Linked DNA regions of Saccharomyces cerevisiae S288C. The protein of the gene in region 3 interacts with the protein of the main gene of each other region in a pairwise test. Each region holds a gene or a part of one and is shown on either strand. Other genes may lie near its edges. The genes, in order: BZZ1, PPE1 and PPH21.

Evidence for each region.
Region 1: the proteins of PPH21 (region 3) and BZZ1 interact in a two-hybrid assay, tested with the Saccharomyces cerevisiae proteins (one large-scale study listed by BioGRID).
Region 2: the proteins of PPH21 (region 3) and PPE1 interact in binary tests that used the Saccharomyces cerevisiae proteins (3 or more experiments, as listed by UniProt).

What each region holds. Positions count from the first base shown.
Region 1 is NC_001140.6:336,267-340,023, reverse strand, and holds BZZ1 (Bzz1p), read right to left. Parts: upstream 1,942-3,757; coding exon 40-1,941; downstream 1-39. Other genes in the region: APE4 (aspartyl aminopeptidase), read right to left, coding at 2,215-3,687. UniProt on the Saccharomyces cerevisiae protein: Plays a role in endocytosis and trafficking to the vacuole. Functions with type I myosins to restore polarity of the actin cytoskeleton after NaCl stress.
Region 2 is NC_001140.6:247,905-251,661, forward strand, and holds PPE1 (phosphoprotein phosphatase methylesterase 1), read right to left. Parts: upstream 1,738-3,757; coding exon 535-1,737; downstream 1-534. Other genes in the region: QNS1 (glutamine-dependent NAD(+) synthetase), read left to right, coding at 1-433; type 2C protein phosphatase PTC7, read left to right, coding at 3,197-3,251, 3,345-3,757. UniProt on the Saccharomyces cerevisiae protein: Demethylates proteins that have been reversibly carboxymethylated. Demethylates the phosphatase PP2A catalytic subunits PPH21 and PPH22. Forms inactive complexes (PP2Ai) with phosphatase PP2A-like catalytic subunits.
Region 3 is NC_001136.10:219,147-222,856, forward strand, and holds PPH21 (phosphoprotein phosphatase 2A catalytic subunit PPH21), read right to left. Parts: upstream 1,626-3,710; coding exon 516-1,625; downstream 1-515. Other genes in the region: RDI1 (Rdi1p), read right to left, coding at 1-142; 60S ribosomal protein eL41 RPL41B, read right to left, coding at 2,578-2,655; SRF1 (phospholipase D regulator), read left to right, coding at 3,281-3,710. UniProt on the Saccharomyces cerevisiae protein: Exact function not known, phosphatase 2A performs an essential cellular function.

The DNA.
Region 1 (3,757 bases), on a different chromosome or scaffold from region 3:
CCAGGGAAAATATTTAATAGTTTCAGTTCATTCCTTCGTTCATTTACAGTAACTTGTAGGAAATAGACCTTTCAATCCGTCACATTCACCATATGTCCACCCGCTACCGTCATCGCCTCTGATAACAGTAATTATGTCCCCCGGATCAATTGAAATCTCATCATCTCCCTGTGCTTCGTAGGCATATATGGCCTCCATCGTCCTAACAGGTAGTGTACTCCTTCTTGGTGGTGGTACTTCTGGTGCAGGGCCTCTATCATTTGCTTTAACTGTAGCCGCGCTAGATATGCGAATATATGTGGTGGGTACAAGGCCGGTTTCCCCAGTGGTGTCGTTATTTATCTTAGTCCATCCAGAACCCGTATCGCGTGCAACCAAAGAGATTTTGTCTCCTGGCGTAATGGTGATTTCGTCATCATCCTTTTGTACGTATGCATACAACACTTTATTCTTGCCGTCATCACTGGAATTTTGTGTGGTCTTTTTTGTATTGTTGGTACTAGTGGTGCGTATAGAATTATTATCTGAATCTTCACCAGCGTTGTTAGGGGCAGAGCCTAGCCTAGTTCTTCTTGATGTGTTGAAGAGACTTGTTATATGCAAGGGTCCTCCGTTGCCATTACCAGTGCTCCCTCCACTCGAAGGCTTCGAGTCGACGTTCAGGATGTTGTGTTTGAACTTACTGAATATCCCGGATTTCTTCTTTGTTTTGGAAAGATCAATATTGTCTGTGGATAAATCGTATTCTTCAGGAACATTATTCTGAATACTTTCGATTTGAACTTCGGCTTGCAATTTTAATGTTTCGTGTGAGGTAAAGGGTGAAACGACATTTAAGTATTCCTTTAGTGTATCATAAAACTTAGTGGCATTGATATTATCTTCATTAGTTTTCATTTCGTGCTTTATCTTGTTCAAAGTAGACAGTTTGGATAACTCATTTTGAGTTTTATCTTGCAATGAATTGTAATCATTTTCTGCTTTTGCCAGTTTTATTCTCAAGTCTTCAACTTCCAACGACGAGGGAACAGCAAATTTTTCATCATCATGCCATACTGGAGATGGCTTATAGACAAAGTCTTGTGGTTCTTTCCAATTCTTTAGATTGTGCTTGATAAAGATGGCCGTGTTTAAAGAGGGTTTATTCTGCTTGACAACAGAATTTGCCGCCTGGAGTCTTTTGCTGACATTTGCACCCAGATCGTTCTCGACAGAAGCCGCCTTCAACCACAGATCATTTAAGAAAAGGGTCTTTGCCTCATTTACGTCTTGTAGAAGATCTAGCACTTCAGGAACATCTTGAAAATAGTATTTATCCTTAGTTCTATTTGCCTGGTTGATCTTGATTAAATATTCATTTTTACACTTGTTCATCTCCATTTCTTTTTCATCCAACTTCTTTTTATTTCTATCATTAGATGCCTTGGTATACCTATTTCTTGCCATTTCCATAGTGGAACAGGCTTCATCATAGTCCTTCTTCGCTTTTTCCAGTTCGTGGTAAATGTTATCCTTTTTATTAACCATGTCATTGTTAAATCCATTTATCTTGCTCAAAGTCATATCAAGTTTAGTGAATAATCCACTCAATTGATTTGCTACATGATTTTCAAAGTCGGTTGATAACTGATCATGATCCTTGGAAATCATATCAGTCTGAGATAGAATTTCATTCCATGCAACCACACCTGCAGCTTCAATGGACCCTGGCGTGGTAGTAGGTGTGTCACCTACCGAGATAGGAACTGAGGTCGAAGACTTCTTATTAAAGTACTCTGCTGATAAGCGAGATAATCTCTCGCTGTAGTCTTTTTCTAACTTAGCCCTTTCCCGATAAAATTGCTCAATGTCCTTCAACCATTTTAAGTTATTTTGGACCCATTTATGGGTTTCCTTAAATGAATCTTTAATTTCATTACCAATCGATAAATCTGCACTCATTTTTATTGCAAGTAATGTAGTAGTTGGCGTTTAAGGATAGATTTCCGCTCATACAAAATTGATCAATCTGCTACCTTCTTCAAAAACTATTTGCGTACAAACTAAATCTGTCTATTCCTTTGCTAAGCGTATATTCTTTTAAAAACTTTTTATTTTTCTGAAGACCCCGCGAAAGCTTATGTAGATCACAAGATATTATATATATTTACTATTTGTAAAATACAAAAGAGGGCAATAAATATACCGGATTATGAATCATCTAACAATTGCAGTTTAGACAACAATTTCAGATTCTATGGAAGTGTAGCGTTCAAAAAATTCCTTAAATAACTTGATTTGGAACTCCAGGTCTGCAGAGCCACCGGTCTCTCTAATCGAATGCATACTCAACACAGGATTACCCAAGTCTAGAGTTCTAATACCTGTCTTTGAGGCCAAAATGGGGCCGATGGTAGAACCGCATGGTGAGTCGTTAGCTACGACAAACAATTGCAAAGGGACTTTAGCAGCCTCTGCTAGTCTTTTCACCAAGACCAACCCTGGTGAATTGGTCATGTAACGTTGATTCGCGTTAATCTTGATTACGGGACCACCACCCAATAAGGGTTTGTGTTGGCTTTCGTATTTGTTTGCATAGTTTGGATGAACTGCATGAGCAACATCAGATGAAAGGAAAAACGACTTAGCGGAAGTTTCCAATATTGCCGAGTGAAACAAAGGTTTAGTTTGATCAGAACCGTCCCCCTTCAGGATGGACAACCTTTCCAATATATTAGGCAAGAAGTTAGAATCTGCCCCTTGGGCGGAGGATGAGCCAATCTCCTCATGATCAAAGCATGCCATCAATCTAATGCCTGATTCTCGGTCAATTTCTGTGTCAGCCGCCAACGTTAAACCGTGCATTGATGTGAAACAAGATGTCAAATTATCCAATCGACCAGAGAAGACAAACTCATCGTTGAACCCACCTAGAGTGGATGCATTATGATCATAAAGGATCAATTCGAAGTCTTCAATGTCTTCAATTGTATCAATGGCGAGTTCTTTGGCTATTAGCCCCAAAAGTTCTGCGTGATGCCTCTGTACTATCGTTTTTATGGAGGTAAACTCACCGTTATTAATTTCCTTTTCAGTTTTCGCTTCAGTTTTGTCTTCTTGCAGACCACCAATCGGCAACAGTTGAGTTTCTCTATTAAACTCGAATTTTTGATTTACGTCTCTGTCCAGATGAATAGCCAAAGTAGGAATCTTTAACAGAGGTCTATTCAAATCCACCAATCTAGCAATGGATTTGCCAGTTTTCGCATCCTTTACGAAAACTCTTCCGGCAACGCCCAAATCCTTATCAAACCATGAATGCCAAATAGCGCCACCATAAGTTTCCACGCCCACTTGTAAATACTTCTCACTGACTCTTTTAGAAATAGGCTTAATCCTTAATGCGGGGGAGTCGGTGTGAGCACCCGTAATGGCAATTGGATTACCAGGCTCCCACTTTCCACCAACAGCAAACGCAATAATGGAAGAGCCATTTCTTGTCACAAAGTACTTTCCTTTTTGTGCGACGTGGCCAGCCCACGAGTCACGTTCGCTCAACTCTTTGAAGCCATTTGACACCAGATGCTTTTTGATGTTATGAACTGTATGGTAAGGAGAGTGTGAGCTATTTAAGAAACTGACAAACTCCTTTGGGTAATCACTCTTGCATGTTTTGCTGGACATAGTTCTCAGTTGTATCCTGAACATAGAAAAGCTGAACCTTTTATTCTTTCTTTTTACCTACTTGCTCACATAACATGAATTTTTTCTTTCATTC
Region 2 (3,757 bases), on a different chromosome or scaffold from region 3:
TGACTTTTTAAACGCTACACCAACTGCAGAATTAGAACCTATGACTAAAGATTACGTTCAATCGGATGAGATAGATATGGGGATGACGTATGAAGAATTGGGCGTGTTTGGTTACCTAAGAAAGGTTGAAAAATGTGGTCCTTATTCTATGTTCTTAAAACTTCTTCATCAATGGTCCCCAAAGTTAACACCTCGTCAAATATCTGAAAAGGTGAAAAGATTTTTCTTCTTCTATGCCATCAACAGACACAAGCAAACTGTTTTAACTCCTAGTTATCATGCTGAACAGTATTCACCAGAAGACAACAGATTTGACTTACGTCCTTTCTTAATCAACCCAAGATTTCCATGGGCTTCAAGAAAAATTGATGAAGTTGTCGAGCAGTGTGAAGCACATAAAGGCTCAACGCTTGACATTATGTCTATTGATTAGCACAGAAGAAGTGCTCACAGCAAAATAAGACTTTTCCACGAGTTCATATATTCTGTTATTTATTCTATCATAAATAAAGATATAAAAGTGATATTTAACCCTTATGTATTTTGCACGGTTTTGTGTTGACCCCAATTAGTCTTGATTACTACATTCCTAGAATCGTTCCGCTTCCAGAAATCAATTAAAGTGATTGCTGTTTTTATAGGCGAATCTTCTTGAATGAAATGCCCGGAATCTTGGAAAACTACCAACTGATATTTACCTTGCATTTGCCCCACAATTAATTCTTTATCGAGATTTTCGTTTCCCGCCAATATTAATAATTTACTAACAGGTAAGCCAACAAAGGAGTGCGACAGATCGGTAAACCATGTGTCCCAGAAAGGGCTAAAGGTCTTAAGGTTTGTTATCCTGACAACTTTCCCTGACTTGAGCGGAGCAAATAAAGCTGGTATAGCAATTTCGGCGCTTGACCTCAATCTCGATAACGCGTGTTGAACGTGCCAATCGACAGCGTCATTAATTGATTCAAATACATTGGGTGTATTCTGCAAAAAATGTTCAACTTTATTTAAGGCCATAATGGCAGCCTCTTCTACAATATCTAACATAGTAATACCAAGAATTTTCTTTTGTAGTTCTGTTGATAATTTAGGGTACGCAAAAGTACATATACTTCCACCAAGGGAATGACCAATTAGTATAACAGATACCTTCTGAAGTGGCTCTTGGCTTATTTTAGACTTAAACCAATAATTTAGCAGGCTTACAAAATCTTTGATAAAAGAGTCCCTGTCAAAGCATATAGGCGCATCAGCCTTCTTAAACTTTGTTTCTGCATGCCCCCTAGCATCAAATGCAAAGCATCCGCATCTTCCTTCTAGTTTAGTATTTAATTCCTTGGCCAAGTTTGCAAATGATAAACCTGAGGAGCCCGCCCCATGGTGGAAAATAAAGATGGGAATTGAAGTGGTATTTGATAACAATGAAGTAGGTAATGTATAGTATGTATTTACGTCCAGATCTCTATCAGGAAGACTTACCAACTCCTTATTATCAAAAAAATCACTCCAAGTGGGTAAACTACTCTTTTCCTTACTTGAAATTCTATCAGTAGTACTACCGGTTTTGCCCGTATATTTTCTGTTCCTATTTGATTGTCCATTAAATGATGGCAGGGAACCTAATGCATCACCATCGTTTTCATCATCCTCGTATGCTTCTTGGAATGTCGCATCTAGAACATTCTTGGCTCTCTCAAACTGGGATAAAGCAATTTTTCTTCTCAAATCGTCAGACATTGAAAATTTGAAAATGTCCTACCGTTACTACCAGTTTGTTGCCGTATTTTTGACTCTTTGTTGAGCATTAGTTGATCATTACCGCTGCAGTCAGTTAATGATATCCCTAAATAGGCATATTGTACAATTTCAAATATATTACCCGAATTACAAGAACAATAGGGTCTTCTACAATATTACTATGAACAATTCATAGGGGAACATAGTCCACTTCAATGTCGGTGCCAACGATTCTATTTGTTGTAAGTATATATGCTGTTTCCCGGCAATACTTTATATTGGGGGAATTTTCTGGAGGTTTAAGGGCATATTACTACGTCAAGGCTGGGATTGACCTTCTGGTATATATTACGTTGCGCAGGACATTCCTTATACTTGAGCCTTTGTAAAAACTTCTTCGTTCTCCTGACCAACCGTTCAATTATGTTGTGAATTTTTTGATCCGAGTTTGAAACATCCAAATTCACAAACAAACCGTTGTCATCCTGAGTTGGCGTCGGCCATTGAGCTTCCTCTATGTGTTTTAAATCTTTCATTTTAAGAAATCTAAGTAAGGAAATTGTTTCTCCACATGTGTACCGTATAAAGTTCTTGTTATGAATTAGAAGGATTATCACAAAAGCCCTCCATCAAATCTGATAATTTCATTACCCAAAGACTGTAATACCTTGGGTGTAAAGATCGTATTTTTTGATGTCTTCGTGATATTTTGCAGATCTTTCCATTTTATAAATTTCTGCAAATATCGTGCATCAGCTCATCTTGGAATTGGCACAATCTGCGTAATTTTTTTCTTGGTTCTCTTCTCCTTTTGATTTTAAGAGCGCTTTCTATTCAGTAGCAGATTTTCAGTAAATAAAGCCATCTTTCTCAAGTAAACTCATGATCATGCAGTTGTTCAAAATTACACCAATAACGATGTTATCTTTAAAACTTTCCCCAGAAAGAAGATGGCACTTTTGCACTAAATACTTCAAACTATTTAACTTTGAAGCAGGACATATTGCCGGTTATTTGACCATGCTGGCGCCGTTGACATTCATGTAAGCAGTATTAGCTTTTAAACTGCCATTAACGCACCTATACGATTGCGGCGGTGCGAAAACAGTAACTAGCACTCTTACGGCTCATTGTTTCCTCTATCCAAAGTTGCCTATATCACAATAAAATTAGAAATTAATCATTTTAATAAGCTTGCTGCCATTCAGTGACTCGCAATCTACGTTTTAAACGTAATTTAAAAATCCACTTCCACCTACATATTTTGCAACAGTCGTACGACAGAAACTGAGGCTCTATAAAATGAGATGTGCTAATTGTTCTTTCTTGGCTGGTTTCAGCTACATCTTTCTGTAATCAATCTACAAATTTACACGCGAGCTTCATTTTGACAGTAAACAAATGTAAAAGACACATGCAATAAAAGCGGTCCAGAAAACAAACGACAAAGCCACCAAAAATGTTTGCAAACGTTGGATTTAGAACTTTGAGGGTCTCGAGAGGTCCCCTTTATGGTATGTTTATTGTTTTATTCATTGGTGTGCTAATTGCTAAATTTGCGGGACAAATGCTAATCGACTCAGAGACTAACTTTTCTCATATCATAGGATCCTGCAGTCAAATCATCAGCTTTTCCAAGAGGACTTTTTACTCAAGTGCCAAGAGTGGGTATCAATCGAACAACAGTCATGGTGATGCGTATAGTTCAGGTAGCCAATCAGGCCCGTTCACCTATAAAACCGCGGTAGCTTTCCAACCAAAAGACAGAGACGATCTGATATACCAAAAACTAAAGGATTCTATTAGATCACCTACAGGAGAAGACAACTATTTTGTTACATCAAACAACGTTCACGATATTTTTGCCGGTGTCGCAGACGGTGTTGGAGGATGGGCTGAGCATGGGTATGACTCCAGCGCCATCTCAAGAGAATTGTGTAAAAAAATGGACGAAATAAGCACTGCTTTAGCAGAAAATTCATCCAAAGAAACGCTTTTAACGCCAAAGAAAATTATTGGT
Region 3 (3,710 bases):
AAGACTCTTTCCATTTCGCCAAGGATTCGTCTTCAGCATCCAGATTTTTGTATTCGTCAACAGTTTTTTTGGCTGAAACTTTATACTGATCGTTGTTTCTCTCCTCTTCGAATTGACTAAAGTCGGTACTTTCTTCGGCCATTATTCAGTTTTTCTCTAATAAAAAAGCTCAATACTCGAGTTATTCGTGTGGCTAGAAAAAGAATCAAAGTAATACAAGCAGCCTGAAGAATGGAAGTTCTTTCCACTCAATCTTTATAACGTTTCCCTGATCTATCGCGAAATTTAAACGATCGCGTTAGAGAACCGTTTCACCCGGAGTAATGATCAGAATGATTAAAGCGTTGGGGAGGAAAAAAAGCCTCGTATTGATTGATATATCTGAAGAATAATAAAAGAAGAAAATTTGCAAGGCAATTTGCAGTTTATTTTTGGCTAAATGTGTAATTAACTATGATAATGGTAAAGGAGAAAAGTGAATATATATCTATATAGATGCATATATGTATACATACTCATAAAAAGTAATCTGGCGTCTTTCTGCTGACGCTAGGTTCACCTGGTCTTACGGATGGGTCGTACTGTAAGAATTGTCTATTATGATTCTCGTCCACTTCCATGATAGCTGCTTGATTACCACATCTGTAGCAGTAATTAGGAGCACTGAAAATGGTGACAACATTTTGCTGGTGAGACCAAGCATAGCCTTCCATTACCAATTGGTGAGCTCTTGCTATTAGTGATAGATCATTAGTGTGATTGAATTGCTCACTGACATCTTGTCCAAAAGTGAAGCCTGCACCTCTGGGACTGATTCCCCATCCGCCTCTATCGTCAGGGTCTGACCATAGAAGGTCACACATAGGACCTTCATGAGGCACTTCCTGTATTCTGTTCAACTCTCTCACCTGATCTATGGTTTCTATCATGGGGGAAAGTCCTCCATGCAGACAGAAAATTTTATTATCTACTAATGCGGTTATAGGAAAATAATCGAAAAGATCTGTGAACATTTTCCACACGTTTGCACTGCCGTACTTTCTCAAACATTCATCATAAAACCCGTATACTTGGGTAATCTGCCTAGACTCGTGATTGCCTCTCAGTATCGTAATTCTATGTGGGTATCTGACTTTCATGGCAACTAGGTAAGATACAGTTTCAACAGAATAATATCCTCTATCCACGTAATCACCCATGAAAAGGTAATTGGTGTCAGGACAAGGGCCACCAATCTTAAAAAGTTCTAACAAGTCATGGAATTGACCGTGTACGTCACCACAAATGGTAACAGGCACGTTAATTGGTTTAACATTCTCCTCGAACTGCAACACGTCCACCGCCATTTTACATAGTCGTGCTACATCGTCTTCTGATAGTGGCTCGCATTTACTCAAATGCTCAATCCATTGGTCAAGCTGATTTATATTTGTGTTATTCAGTTCTAGTGGTTTGGAAGATTTGTGATCTGCTATGCCCGAGGAACCAGGTTTTAAATCATCAACCGAGAATTCTTCTGCATTATTATCCGATGAATTGTTGTTGAGATCCATATCTTCAGATACTGTGGGAGTCAGCTGTTCGGTAACAGCATCTTGCATAGGCACATCTAAATCTGTATCCATTTTTCTTTTTGTTTATTGTTTTATGCGATAATTTATATCCCTCTTTCCACTATGAACTAAATAGGGGCAAAATAATTTGTTTTTTTCTTTCTCTTTTGCCTTATTTCAAAAAACACAACCGGTAAAATTAACAGTTTAAAATTAGATAATAACTCTATTCAACCTGAACTCACTAAACTCTTACTAAATTACTGGTAAGGAAAGAAAACTAGGGGAAGACGAGTGAAAAAAGAGCAGTCCAACAGGTGTATTTCTAAGAAGAATAAAACACTTTTTGTAAATATCGTGTCCACTGGGGCAATTTAATTTACACTAAAACTAATTGGAGTATGTGTATATCAAAATCAATGAAAGTGCAGCGTCTGATTCACTAATTACCTCCTTTACTGTGAAACGGTGCGTCGAAAGGAACCTGTAACAAAAACCTGCTAAAAAGAATGCCGAACTAATGTAATCCGGAAAACTATTTCTACTACTATGTGTTAGTCGATTAAAATAGCCGAAAATCTTTCAAGCACGACAGAAAGATTCATTATCATTCTCCATTTCACAGGTATTCCATTTTCCGTTCATTTTTTCACTTTTTGATTTTATCCTTAAAACCCGCCCGGTTCATCACTTTGCACGCCACAGAAACCTCAGAATAAGCTAAAGGGTAATATAATAAAGCCCTTCGATTCAATAATAGCATTACCCAAGAGGCATAGCGGCAAACTAAGTTGACAACACAAAATCAAATCGCTTCATTTTTATTTTATTAATGATATTTTATTAGAGAGGAAATTATGTAATATCTAGATATTAAATATAAAGTAGATCTCTGTCTAAAATATTCTTAACAAAATCTTATATTCGAAAGGATGACGGTCCAATCAAAGGATTGTATAAGAGAAATTAGTTTTCGAAATCAATTTTTACTTGACCTGAACTTAACGATTTGCTCTCAATCCGCTTATTTGGATCTGGCTCTCACCTTCCGTCTCTTTCTCTTAAGTCTTCTAGTTCTCTTCTTTCTCCACTTAGCTCTCATTTGGAATTAAGTCGATATGACTATCTTAGGATTGAAGTAAAATATAAGATGAAAACAGAAAACAAGCGAAATTTCAAAGAGAGAAGTGAAACAATAATGACGGATAACAATTATTTAACATTCAGAAATATTACATTCGTTAACTCTCCATATATATAAATCACCCCAGCAGAGGAAGATGGGATTTCTGCCAGCAATGATGACGGGTAAATGGATAGCATCGCAGCTGCGACACCTTTTCCATGGTGCGACACGCGTCGTACAATGACCTAAAAATCCTAAAATAAAATAAGATGAATCTAATAAGGAAAGGTACTGGTGAAATGAGATAAGGGTGTACGGGTGTGGTAACCGTCGTGAAATAAAGAAAGCATTCTGAACGATGAATACTAAATAAGGGAAAGTGGAAATAAACGAAGTGTCGAAAGAGGAGAAGAGGTCTTGGCTTTCATATAGTGGAAGAAATTCTAAGCTACAACACAAAGTCTCCAACCACCTTTTGTTTAGTCAATTATAAAAATACTTTGATTGCTATTTCGAAACCGTGAGATTGCTGAGAAGGGAAAGTGAATGATATTTTTTTGCATTTTTTGAGGCGTTCTTTTTTTTTACACTGACAAATTTAATGGGGGATTCTAATTCCAGCCAAGAAGCGTATTCTGATACAACATCCACGAACGCTTCTAGAATCGCAGATCAAAATCAACTTAATTTAAACGTGGATCTTGAAAAAAATCAAACAGTAAGGAAGTCAGGTTCACTGGAAGCATTACAGAATGCAAAGATACATGTTCCCAAACACAGTGATGGTTCACCACTAGACTATCCAAAATTAAATACTTACACGTTTGTGCCTACCACAGTGCCGCCTTATGTTTTAGAGGCGCAGTTTGATAAATTAAGACTTCAGGATAAGGGCACCGTTGATGGAAATGTTACCGATGATAAAAATCTTCCAAAAGAGTTTAAATGGGGCCAGTTTGCATCTACCATCGGCTGTCATTCTGCATACACTAGAGACCAAAACTACAATCCTAGTCACAAATCCTACGATG